2 linked regions of the Saccharomyces cerevisiae S288C genome follow. Changing the gene in region 2 together with the main gene of any one other region gives a genetic interaction. Each region holds a gene or a part of one and is shown on either strand. Other genes may lie near its edges. The genes, in order: ATG15 and DNF3.

Region 1 (4,102 bases), on a different chromosome or scaffold from region 2:
CACATCTGGGGCAACCACACCACCCTGGATATACTTGTTAGGGTAAACCTTGTTGATTTTGGTCTTACGGTACGAGTAAGTATGTATATCATTGGGATCTTTCCCTTCGATAACTGCCTTAACACCATGGGCCAGCATAGCAAAGTTGTTCACAGTTTTGGGCACGACAGTACCGTACAACTCAAAAGTCAGATCCGCCTCTTTCATCGACTTCGAAACGGGATCAAAGTATTCGATAGTGATTATTCCACGATGTGTGGCGGGGGGACTGGGCTCATATTTTTTCTGAAGATCAACATCCTTGGAGGTAATCTGCTTCCCTGATGAAGGTGCAGCGTGGACTTGGCAGAGTACTAAGGAGTACAGGCAGAGCAGCAAGGATTTCAACCACATGTTGTTGCTGAACTTATTCGAAAGTCTATCTATTTTCTTCGGTCTTCCAATCTACGAGTGTGTGAGTTTGCTAGAGAGCAATTGAAGCAAAGAATATGTGACCTATTAATTGCACCTGACTGACGCCTTTCACTTTAAAGCAGTATTAATATATCTTCTCGTGTCGTTTAGCTGAACCTTTAAGTTGTCAAAATGATACATTATTTATCAGACAATGGAAGAAAAAAAGGGCGCATAGGCCCTAAAACAACACTAGGGTCATAATAGATGTATGGGTCTTACAACTCGTATTTGGTGCAGAAGCCAAGCCAATTGCGGCCTACACAGGTAGATGAAGAGGTAGTAGTAGCAGTGGTGCGAGTCGTCGTGGTTGGTGCAGCGTGGCTTTTAGTCTTGGTAATGAGCCTCGATGAGGATTCCCAGTCTCTGCTTGGAATAAACTTCCAGTTGTAGCAATCTACGCAGGGCTCTGGTTCAACGCACTTGGCAGCCTGCTCGTATCCAAGGAGAACTTCGTCAATGACTTTGTGGATTCTGTGGTTGAACATGTTTACACTCCAGCCCTTGTCGTTGACCACATCGTAGACACAGACTCTACCAGTGTGGCACGCGGTTTCCATAGCGTAGCCCACCAGTGAGCAACTTGAACTAGCTCCGTTGCATGTACCCATGAAGATTGGGTCTGCGTTGTGACCGAAGTGCCAGATACCCTCCATGTATGAGGGAAGTCCCGGTGGGAATGGTAAGTGAAGTCTTTTTGAAGGTAGTAGCTCTCCAGGGGACTCGAATGCGACCGCAGGCAATCCAAAAGTGCGGCCCAGTAAACTGGCCAATGCGCCTCCCAGTGAGTGGCCTGTGACCCATATGGCCGCATCGGGGTATTCTTTGAGGACGCCTTTGTATATGTCAACGACTGCAGAGTAAAATCTATCCTTACGTCTCAGTTCCTTTTCCAGGCAAGACTCATCGCATATATACGACTTCACATAGCAATCGCACACGGTAGTCCACAGGTAGCTCACTCTTGCACAACAACACGAAAATAACAAATTATCGTTGATCTTGTCGTTTCCAGTTGTCTCATCTTCGCCAGACCCTGGCAAACCCTGAGCGCTGGTTCCCTTTATCGAGAGTACCACGATATTCTCCACTTCATTGTAAAAGACGTGACCACGTATACCATCACCATCCCAACCAAAATCTTCCGGCTCTGTTTCATTCCACGGCTCCGTGACGTTACGCCAGTCTCCCGTTTGCGGTATTCTCACGTAAGCATTAGACGACATTAATGCTAACGACACTACTGTACCTCTATCTGTGATATTGGGTGCCACAATGTCATCATCTATCCACATGGCGTGTTCTTCCTCCTCCGTCATGTATGTTTCTCCGTAAATGTACGACTCTATGAATTCAGGATCTCTTTCCTTCATCCGCTTCATCAATAGCGGCATCCTTCGTAGCTCAAACTCAAAATCGAATGGGTTAGTGGTGGCATATTCGGCATTAGTAGTCCATAGGGGTTCTTGGTCTTCGAAATCCTGTCCTTGAGTTGTGGTTTCTTGATACAGCATTCCAGCGGCAGAAATAACTTCTGGAGTGACCTCCAGCCTCTGGTGTAGCCGATGGTTTGCTCCGACGCCATGCCTGTAGATAGACTTAAGTCTAAAGGTTCCATCAGATTTTTGATCCATGGCACCCCTGGATGAGCTCTTCCCTACCGATAAATAATCCGGTAAAGCAAAGTAGTAAGCAATAAGGCAGAGCACTGTAAGCGTTAGAATGCATCCTAGATGCAAAGGAGAAGCAAATCTCTTTCTTGAAGGGCTTTTATGCAACATTCAATAGAATATTTCCCTTGTTTCCTTTAATTGTAATGCCTAGATCAGTTCTCAATCACGATAACAATTTTCTGAGCAGCGGCGTACTTTCTTTGACTTATCCAAAAGGTTGACACTGATTTGAGTGTCTCAAAAGCCTTTAAATGATAGAAACAAGGCTTTTAGGCTAGTCTTATGTAATAGAGAAAGTTCATCTATATCTACAGATTCTTATTATGTACTGTTGAACAAAGGTGCGGGTAACTGCGATCACACAATCACTTTTTTCCGGAAACGGCTGTCTTCAGCGAACAACAATATAGTAGAGATACTGTATTCAACTGGAAATGCTTTCCCTTTTGCCCTATCATTATTTTCTTTCCGATGTTATGCTTATTATATCTGTGATTGATAAGAGAAAAAAAAAAAAGTGACAGCTATAGAGAAAAAAAAAAACCCTTAGAGAATCCTACCTGGAATATATTTAATGAGCAAGTCTATCTGCTGCACATTGGTCACGACACATGTTAGTGTATATGGCCCAGCCTATGTATTTACGATTTAAATCACCTTGATAATTATTAAACGATATCCAGTTTATTTCGTATTATGTTACATCTGTCAAGCCCTTACTTAGCAATTTTGAGCCCTAGTATTTTTGACCACATTTGTAACTGCCCTATTTTATTATCCTTTTAGCCCTCCTGTCCTTTTTTCTTGGTTGTAGTAATTTTCATTTATATCTCGAGAATTGTACAGTGTAAATGAGAACTGTGAACGCTTCAAGTAACCTACGCTTATAGCTGCTTCGATCGACGGAGGCTGTTTGTCAACAAGCATCACAATTCCCTACGATACGTCCTCTCTTCCTTTTTTTTCTCTCCTTTTAAACTTAGAAAAACTAGCATAATAATGAGTGGCAACTCTGCAAACTATGACGTCGGATATCCGATATATGGTGCTAAATTTATAAATGAAGGCACTCTACTGGTGGCTGGTGGTGGAGGCCAGTTCAATTCCTCGTTTCCAAACAAAATTACAGCTTTAAAGGTGAACTTCCAGAAAAAGAAACACATTAGAAGGTTTCGTGAGATCACATTAGATTCGATTGACGATGCGCCCACTTCATTGGATTGTAATAATAACCTGATTCTAGTTGGTTGCAATGAACTGTTTAATGATTCCTCCATGGAGAACGTTAACCACCACTTGAGGAAGTTTGTGTTTGAACAAGAACATCTAAAATTCGTGGCCAGTATTGATTTCAACAGAACTACAGACCCATCCGTTTTCACTAAGTTTGTTTACATTAATCAAAGGGCCACAGTAGCTGCAATTGCGTCCTCTGAAGTGCCCACTGTGATAAGAATCATTGACCCGCGTAATTTGACGGAAAATTACGAAATTGAAACGGGTAGGGAAGTTAATGATTTGCACTTCGCCCCTAACGGTATTCTTTTGTCATATATCACTTCTAATTCTTTGGAAGTAGCGTCTGTTAGGGACGGAAATTTTGTAGCAAGGAAAACGGATTTTGATAAAAATCTTGTTCTTTCTAATATCAGGTTTCTCAATGACAATACGCTATTAGTGGCAGCATCATTATCGAACTCTGATGGAGTTTCCTTGTTAAAACTAGGTGTGAGTTCCAAAGGTGTTAAAATTTTAAAAACAGCATCCTTCATGTTCGATTTGAATGGAATAACATCGATGGATGTCTCCCCAAATAAGAAGTTCGTTGCATTATCATCTAACGATAACTTGGTTGCCATCGTCAGCGTTGAAAAGCTAAAGCTTGTTCAGTTGGTTCCAAGAGTACATGAATCTACTATAACAAAAGTTACTTTTTCTCCAGATTCTAGATATTTGGCAAGCACTTCTATGGGGAA
Region 2 (7,629 bases):
CGGCGCTTCACCATTTGGGCCTTCTGCTTCCACTTTTTCATTTGGAGGCCCCGGTGGTTTCAGAGTTTATACTAATAATCGTGGTGGCTCACCGTTCATGCGTCAACAACCCCGCTCAAGACAGCAGCAACAACAAGCAGAAGAAAATGCAGTGAATTCGCAATTAAAAAATATGCTCGTTCTTTTCATCATCTTTATTGTTCTTCCTATGATTAAAGATTACCTGTTTAGTTAAACACAATATTTTTACTGTCATTTTTTTATTATTTTCCAACGTTAGTCAAAGTTGTACTATAAAATAAAACTACAAGGAGCAAGCAAAATTGAAAAAACGCATTTGTATACTAGATGACATTTAGGTCATTCCTTCAGGCTTCCTGGCTATGTTTTATTTTGTTCCACAGTTTACCAGAAGGACATAATGGTATTAGAATTTTAATATATCGAGGAAATTAAATCAGACAGTATAATACTTATAAACATCTTTATTTTCTGATAACTAATCATAGCATTTACGCCATACATTTACTTTTTCTTTTGACACCGAAAGTAATCAAGCCACTTTTATAATTAGAGTTAGTTTATAGATAGTATTTAAAATTTGTGAAGATTTCCCATGCGTTGTGCCTTGCTTTCTCTCAAAATACATCTTGTTAATTTTCTAATGTGTGGATGCCGAAATAATATTCGACTCAACAAATCAAGTAAGTCTTCTAAGCTCGCTACTAATTTCCAATAAAAGGTATATATATAAAAATGTTCTCAATAATGTAATTAAACAAGATCACGAGAATTACTCCAGATCCTTTAGCCTTGCCTGAATAATCTGGTTCACATCTTCATCTTCCACATTCCTCGATGGAAGCTTCAGTTTCTTCGTCAGTTTAGTAGTTATATTGCCGCCAATACTGTCTTTACTGCTTTGTGTTTTCAAGGATGGTCGCTTGATTAACTTGCCACTAGGTAATACCTCGTATCGTTCAGAGCTCTTTTTAGAAGAGTTTCCAAAGAAATTTTTTTTTGAGGAATGGTCTACATTCCCATTTGACATTGAATATATGCTGCTGTTATGAGTTTTTGCACTTGCACGTGAATTAGTTCTTGGCCTTGAAAGAACTTTGTCTGTGTACCTTGTGAAAGTACTGGGATCTTTATCCCACGTCCATCCTTGCCTCATTTCGCTATAGGCTCCTAGTTCCAGCTTCTTTCTGATATCACTTTTTTGTTCCAGCTCAGCAAAAATATCAGAATCTGATGGCCATATCATAACTTTGAATGTTTTGTAAACTATATCTAAAGTGATAGGTAACAGTGCCAACACCAAGCTAGTACACCAGAATGTAATGTCTTTACCAAAATGATTGTAAAAGCCATATGCTACATCATATATTTGGTCAGTATTATTCAAAATAGGAAGGGCACAACACCACACTAACCAACCTCCACAGGATAGAACTACAGAAGTAAAAGCCAGCCAATTCCTATTGTGCATTTCAACAAATTGGGATTTAACGTTAATTAAGGCAACAATGGCTGTGAAATTGATGAGACCTAGAGGATACATAGTGTTATCTGAAAGAGAACTCATACCCCACATTACAACATTTAAAAATGTAATGATAAGAGAATTCGTAGTTGCCAAGATAACCCACTCCATGAATATTAACCAATTAAAACCTTGTGAAAGGCGCCCGTACGAATATAATTCAGGGACTGTTAGTAGAGTCATTGGTTTCAAGTCTTTCTCAAACATACCAATACATAGAACCGGTAGTGATGTGAATAGAGTATTGAACATGGACAATGACCATGGCTCATATAGAGAGGAGCCTGAAAACATTGTATATCTTTGATATATCAACTGCGTAAAGTAAAACGTAATTTCTTTGTAAAACGTGCAAAGCATAAACTTGGAGGTGCGAATATAGTTATAACGCCCATGAACAAATAACAATTTCAAGAGAAACCGAAATTGGCCAATAGAATAATCAGATACTCTAGATGCTTGCAATCCCTCCTTACCGGCTATTCCAACACCTATATCGGCAGATTGTATCATGGCAATATCATTCGCACCATCACCTATTGCCAACGTGACTAAGTTTGGATCGGTATTTCTTATGTTGGAAACCATAAGGGCTTTTTGAGAAGGTGAAGCACGGCAACATATTACCGAGTCTGTTTTAGTGCAAAGCTCAACAAATACAGACATGTATGTAGGATTTCCTTCAAACATGGCCATCGTGGCACCGTCAATTACAACAACGCAGTGTGCTATGTTTCCGGAATCAACTTCTTGAGAAACCGCATTCATCTTTGATATAATATTTTCATCAGTAGTAGTTAAAATGACTACCGTAGAATAATCTTTGATTAACATACACGAATACCCTATATTTATAGCCGTTTCCCTTTTATCCCCTGTTAGCATCCACATTTTTATACCGGCTCTTCTGATCTTTTCTATAGCTTCTGAAACGCCGTCTTGTAACTTGTCTTCGATTGCAGTTACCCCTAACAGATTTAAACCATCCTCGATTTCTGCACCTGCCTCATCGACTTTGATTTTTCTATCAGTAAGGGAGGTTTTGGCTTGGTGATAGCGTTTATTCCAATTTTCATACTGCCCAATATCGATCCATTTGTAAGCATAGACCAGAGTTCTTAAGCCTTCAGTCGAAAACTCATCGATGGCTTGCAAAGTTCTTTCAATAACATACTCTTCATTCAAAATTAACTCATCGCTTCCAATGTGCTCCAAAATTTCTGTATCGTAATCATGCTGTAGTCCTTCTTTTCTTGTGTCTATTGGGACATTGTTGTTCGGAAAATGTGTTCCATCTATCGAAATTCGCGGCCCATATTTTTCTATTTGTTGCTTATGGAGTGACTTCCTGCTTTTATTTACAACGCTGCCAATCTCCTGATCAGATTTCTTGACCGTTTCTAGAAATTGATCAATGGAGTCAATTTGTTTCTCTGGATCACGGGTCCTGCTGTTCTTCATTGAAAGACTTTTTCTCACTGCCTGCAATGATAAACTTGCTCTCGGTACGCTAGACAAAGAATTTCTCAATGAGGTCCTGGCCATAGCCTCTTCATCTACCATTCTTTCCAGAGACTTTCTTTGCTGGAGAACCAGCTCTGCTTCTGCGTCTTTACGTTCTTTGGTACTGGTGCATATGTCTGCCATTTTTTTGGCAGCCAATTCGCGATCATGTAAACGCTCCATAATAACGTTATCAGCACCTTTGCAAATTAAAAGAACTTGATTTGGTTGATTTGGCATACGTACAAGAACAGACATTCTCTTTCTTTGAGAATTGAAGTCAATATAGTTCAAAATTTCATAATTTTCCAATTTTGCTTCACCGTCAAAACCGTCTGGAAAAGTTTTAATGGTCAAAATCTGTGCATTTCTATTCAATACAATATAACCAAGGTCTCTAGCAGCGGTTACTAGTGCTAATTCATCTGGAGATGAAGACTGATACTCTATGGAGTCTTCTCCTATTGATTCGTTATGAGTTTTTTTGGGAAGACAGCTATGACAAAGAGCTAATGATAAGAAGAAAAATTTAGCCTTTTGAGAAAACAGGGCGGTCGGATATCTTTGAATAAACTGAATTAAATCAAACGAACTTTTAATGTTCTCCGAAAATGTCTCGGAGGGTGAAATAACCGAAGCTTGTTTACTTAGATGTGAATTATCTTTCCCAAAAAGTGATCTCATACTGGGACGGCCTGTATAAATTGCTGATGAATTTCCCTTATATTCAATAGAATTCCTAGATTTAGGAAAGTTGTCCAAAGATGGACGATGCCCTTTTTCAATTGGTGCGTCCGAAAATCCTAACCGATCAAGAACATTTTGATCTCCAATGGAAACAACGTCTATACTAGAGCCGTTGTGAGCTTTTGGTGGTAGTCTCAAGGAGTTCGTATTGTCTCTGTTGTCTTCAAAGTTATCCTCAGAATTACCGAGATCTACATTATGCAGCCAAGATGATCCACATAAAGAAAATTTCCGAAATATCATCTTATTATCCGTCAGCGTTCCGGTTTTATCACTAAAAATATAAGATACTTGCCCCAATTCCTCCAGAATGGTGGCAGTTCTCGATTCGCATGGCGTGTTCGTTTCTGCATGGTACATGTCTATGTCCCATTCCATCATTTTACTTTGGACTACCTTGATAATTTCCATTGTTACATATAGGGACAAAGGAATCACAGTGTTATACATGATGATAAAAGACATTATTGTGGGTGCTACGCCAGCATCTGCCTGAAATAGATACCATGCTTTGTTCTGGTCGATATATTTTTTCTTATGCAAAACATGGCCAAGATAAGAAAATAAAGATATTGTGGCAACGACAAACACCATAAACACGATAATCATATTTATCTTCCTTTGTAGCTTAGGGGCTTTCGTTCTTGGGTTTTTTAAAGCATTCATTCTGATTTTTGTTTCCTCACCACTGAAAATGACCATACCAACAACATTTTGAGTATTCCTCAAAATACTACCACGATAAATGACATTATCAGGACCTAGAGGGTATTTCATTATGGTATCATTGCGATGGTTTTTCAATTCAAGATTACCTTCAAAATTATATAAATCAATATTGGGATCTTCCACGGTAACTTGAGCATTAATATTTGCAAGACCTGATGCGGCTTTGGTTAACTTATTTAATTCTGGATGGGGTTGTTTACTTTTCAAATTTGTTTCGCCATCTAAAGCCATCGTTTCAACGAAACATTCGCTATTTTCGCCGTCACATGTCAATAAAAGCAGATCTGCAGGTACCCAATCATCTTGTGTGAGAAGTACGAAGTCTCCAACACGAAGTTTTTCCCACTTCTTTTGATGAATATGAACATTGTATTTATTCTTGAGTAGTTCAAAGTTATTGAAGTGCGTGTCTAAGAAGTGTCCTTGAGAGGAGTTCCGATCATCGTTTAAAGGTGGATTATTTTCAGCAGCGGCCGATTTAGTTAGATATGCAGTGGATGAGACAACACTACTTGGTAGTGTATAAACTTCTTGTGCGTCATTATTTCCATCTTTAACCAACACTCCCACTGGTTTATTGTTCTCTTCCTTATCTAAACGATGTCTCCTGAAATCGTCCCAAGCCTCTCTTGTCATGGATATACCCATAAATACACATAAGGGGATAATAGTTGTATAAGTACCAGTTGTAGACCATCCAGGTATCATTTGTAATACTGCGACAATGAAAAAATAAGTATTGGCTAACTTTGAAAATTGTGCATACAACTGTCTAGGCAAAAAGGAATAGAATGTATATCTTGATGAAGTTATTCGGTTGTCGCAGTAAGGCTTGTTGAACCTTTCGTCTATCAAATGACCATCCCTTTTAGTAGCAGCTTGTTTGTATTCAATTGCATTATGATCTAATATAATCGGAATATGTCTACCGTCTTTCGAATGGAACGTCCTCCTTCGATCTAGGATAGTATCAAGTATTTTAGTGATAATGCTATATGACACATCAGGACTACCATACTCTTCCATTTCATAATCCTCTTCAGCAGCATAATTGCCGCTTGTTTCATCTCTGTCATCTTTATCGTTATTATCGCTACCGGAGAACGTCTTACTCTCATTTATATCTTCTAACTCTATCTCATCATCAGTTCTTCCGCGATATTTATCATACAAATGCTTGTTGAACATCTGCGTTCGTAGTGATGAAGATCTTCTTCTTTGCCCATCAGCTATGCCCATAATATTTTTTTCTTTTTAATAAAGAATGGAATTAAATTATCTACTTCAATTAGGATGTTTATTTGCTGTATGGAAGCTATGTGTATATAACGATAAAGGTCAAATAAAAGAAATAACAAAAAAGAAAAGAGTGAATGAATAGTCCAAAAGCAATGGGGTAATTTGGCACTTGATCTTTTCTCAAGACTTCCTGCAATATTGAATTCTTCTTTGTTAAATATTCGCTTACTTAAAGCACTTGACAGACTGGGGTCGAAAATAACCCGGCTGCGCAGCCCGTCATTTGCTTATTTAGAAAATATGATTAAAGTGTAATTAGTTATTTCAAAGTACATATTAAAATATATTATCATGAATCATTTCCTAGTAATCCTTTTAATTCATACAAAAATGGGATAGTTTCTTCCGAAGATACTTTGCATTTGCTGAGAGGCCTGCTCTCAAGAAAGGCATCGTCTCTTAATGGTTTTTGAAAGCCAAACTTTACGGACATGGAAGCCTGAGCTTTTCTTAGCAATTCAAAGGACTTTGCAGTTCTTAGCCTTTCCCTGCCTTCACGGTTTTCTTGAGCCAATTTCAAAATTCTTTCATCTAACTTGCGTCGTAATTCGTTGTCAGAAAGTTGCTTGAAATCTGGTTTCCTACAACTATCCTTTCCGATAAAATCTACGCGGTGATTTTGGCGTGAACCGGCAGAACATTCCTCCTGACAGTCGTAGTCTTCATATTCCTCTAGTTCGGTGTCGTTTTCAAAAGAGTCATTCACCGATTCAGCAACATCAATGAAGTCAACTTTCCTCTCTAAGCTAAGACCTTGTACTGACGAAGAACGGGGTGACTTTCTGCCTTTGAGGATATCCAGATGGAAACCATGGTTGATTGTATTGGTTGGGGATACCTTTTGTATCCTAGAAATATTGCCACAAATTTTCGAGGTTTTCCAGAAAGTAATGAGCTCCTCCAACTTATCCTCAATGATGTTCCTATCATTCTCTGTTATGCCATTTCGAATGTCAATAGCTAATAGATTGTTCTCGATCATTTTTAAGTAATTAAGTGCCTGAAACAATTTATCATTCTTTGAAAATGAACATACATTTGCTCTTTCACAACCAGTATTAGTTGATGTTTCTTCAGGAAATGCATACAATATTTGCTTATGGTCATTCAAAGACACCAGGACAGTGGAGAGTAGTGAATGTAATCCTCTTAATAGACTAACTATATTTTGGAATGTACCTATTGGATTATATTTTTTTTTGAGTTGCACCCTTGCCATGTAATCTGGAAAGATTTTGTTTAGTGCGTTTCTCATGTTTACATTTGAAAGATTTTCGTTTCCTGTCATATCTAAAGACAGCAAACAACAGAGCATAAATTTCTTTAGCAGTTTGAGACGATAAAGCTTACCATCAAGGTCTTTTACTGTGGTAGTATTATTATAGTAAAGATTTGGTACATCGATACCGTATAATTCACAGTATTTCGATAGCTCACTTGTATCGCTAAAGATGACAATATCTGGAATGATTGATTTGAGTTTATAAAACAGTGCATCACTTGAGAATACTAGGAGCTCTTTTATCACAGATGAGTGCTCGTCAGCAATTGAAATAAGAGACACTCTTGATATAAAACTATGATTTTTTATTTCTTTAAATCGAAGATGATATTTATGAATCATTACATCCACTTGTTGTAATGATTCGAGCACTTTCCGTACCTTTAATAAGGTTTTATAGCAAATCAAATGTCTTCGAAAGTATTCTTGCTGAATTGATAAATACACTGCTACGAGTATTAAAATTACAACTCTCTTCAGACCTGGACTATTTTTTTTTCTACAGTATTTTTTCAACTGTGTA

The links.
Region 1: mutations in DNF3 (region 2) and ATG15 together harm fitness more than expected from each alone (negative genetic interaction), as found in Saccharomyces cerevisiae (2 studies listed by BioGRID).

The regions. Positions count from the first base shown.
Region 1 is NC_001135.5:235,346-239,447, reverse strand, and holds ATG15 (triglyceride lipase ATG15), read right to left. Parts: upstream 2,235-4,102; coding exon 672-2,234; downstream 1-671. Other genes in the region: peptidylprolyl isomerase family protein CPR4, read right to left, coding at 1-393; GTPase-activating protein SED4, read left to right, coding at 3,126-4,102. UniProt on the Saccharomyces cerevisiae protein: Lipase which is essential for lysis of subvacuolar cytoplasm to vacuole targeted bodies and intravacuolar autophagic bodies. Involved in the lysis of intravacuolar multivesicular body (MVB) vesicles.
Region 2 is NC_001145.3:578,158-585,786, forward strand, and holds DNF3 (aminophospholipid-translocating P4-type ATPase DNF3), read right to left. Parts: upstream 5,765-7,629; coding exon 794-5,764; downstream 1-793. Other genes in the region: type I HSP40 co-chaperone HLJ1, read left to right, coding at 1-235; INP2 (Inp2p), read right to left, coding at 6,114-7,629. UniProt on the Saccharomyces cerevisiae protein: Catalytic component of a P4-ATPase flippase complex which catalyzes the hydrolysis of ATP coupled to the transport of phosphatidylcholine and small amounts of phosphatidylethanolamine from the lumen to the cytosolic leaflet of the trans-Golgi network and ensures the maintenance of asymmetric distribution of phospholipids.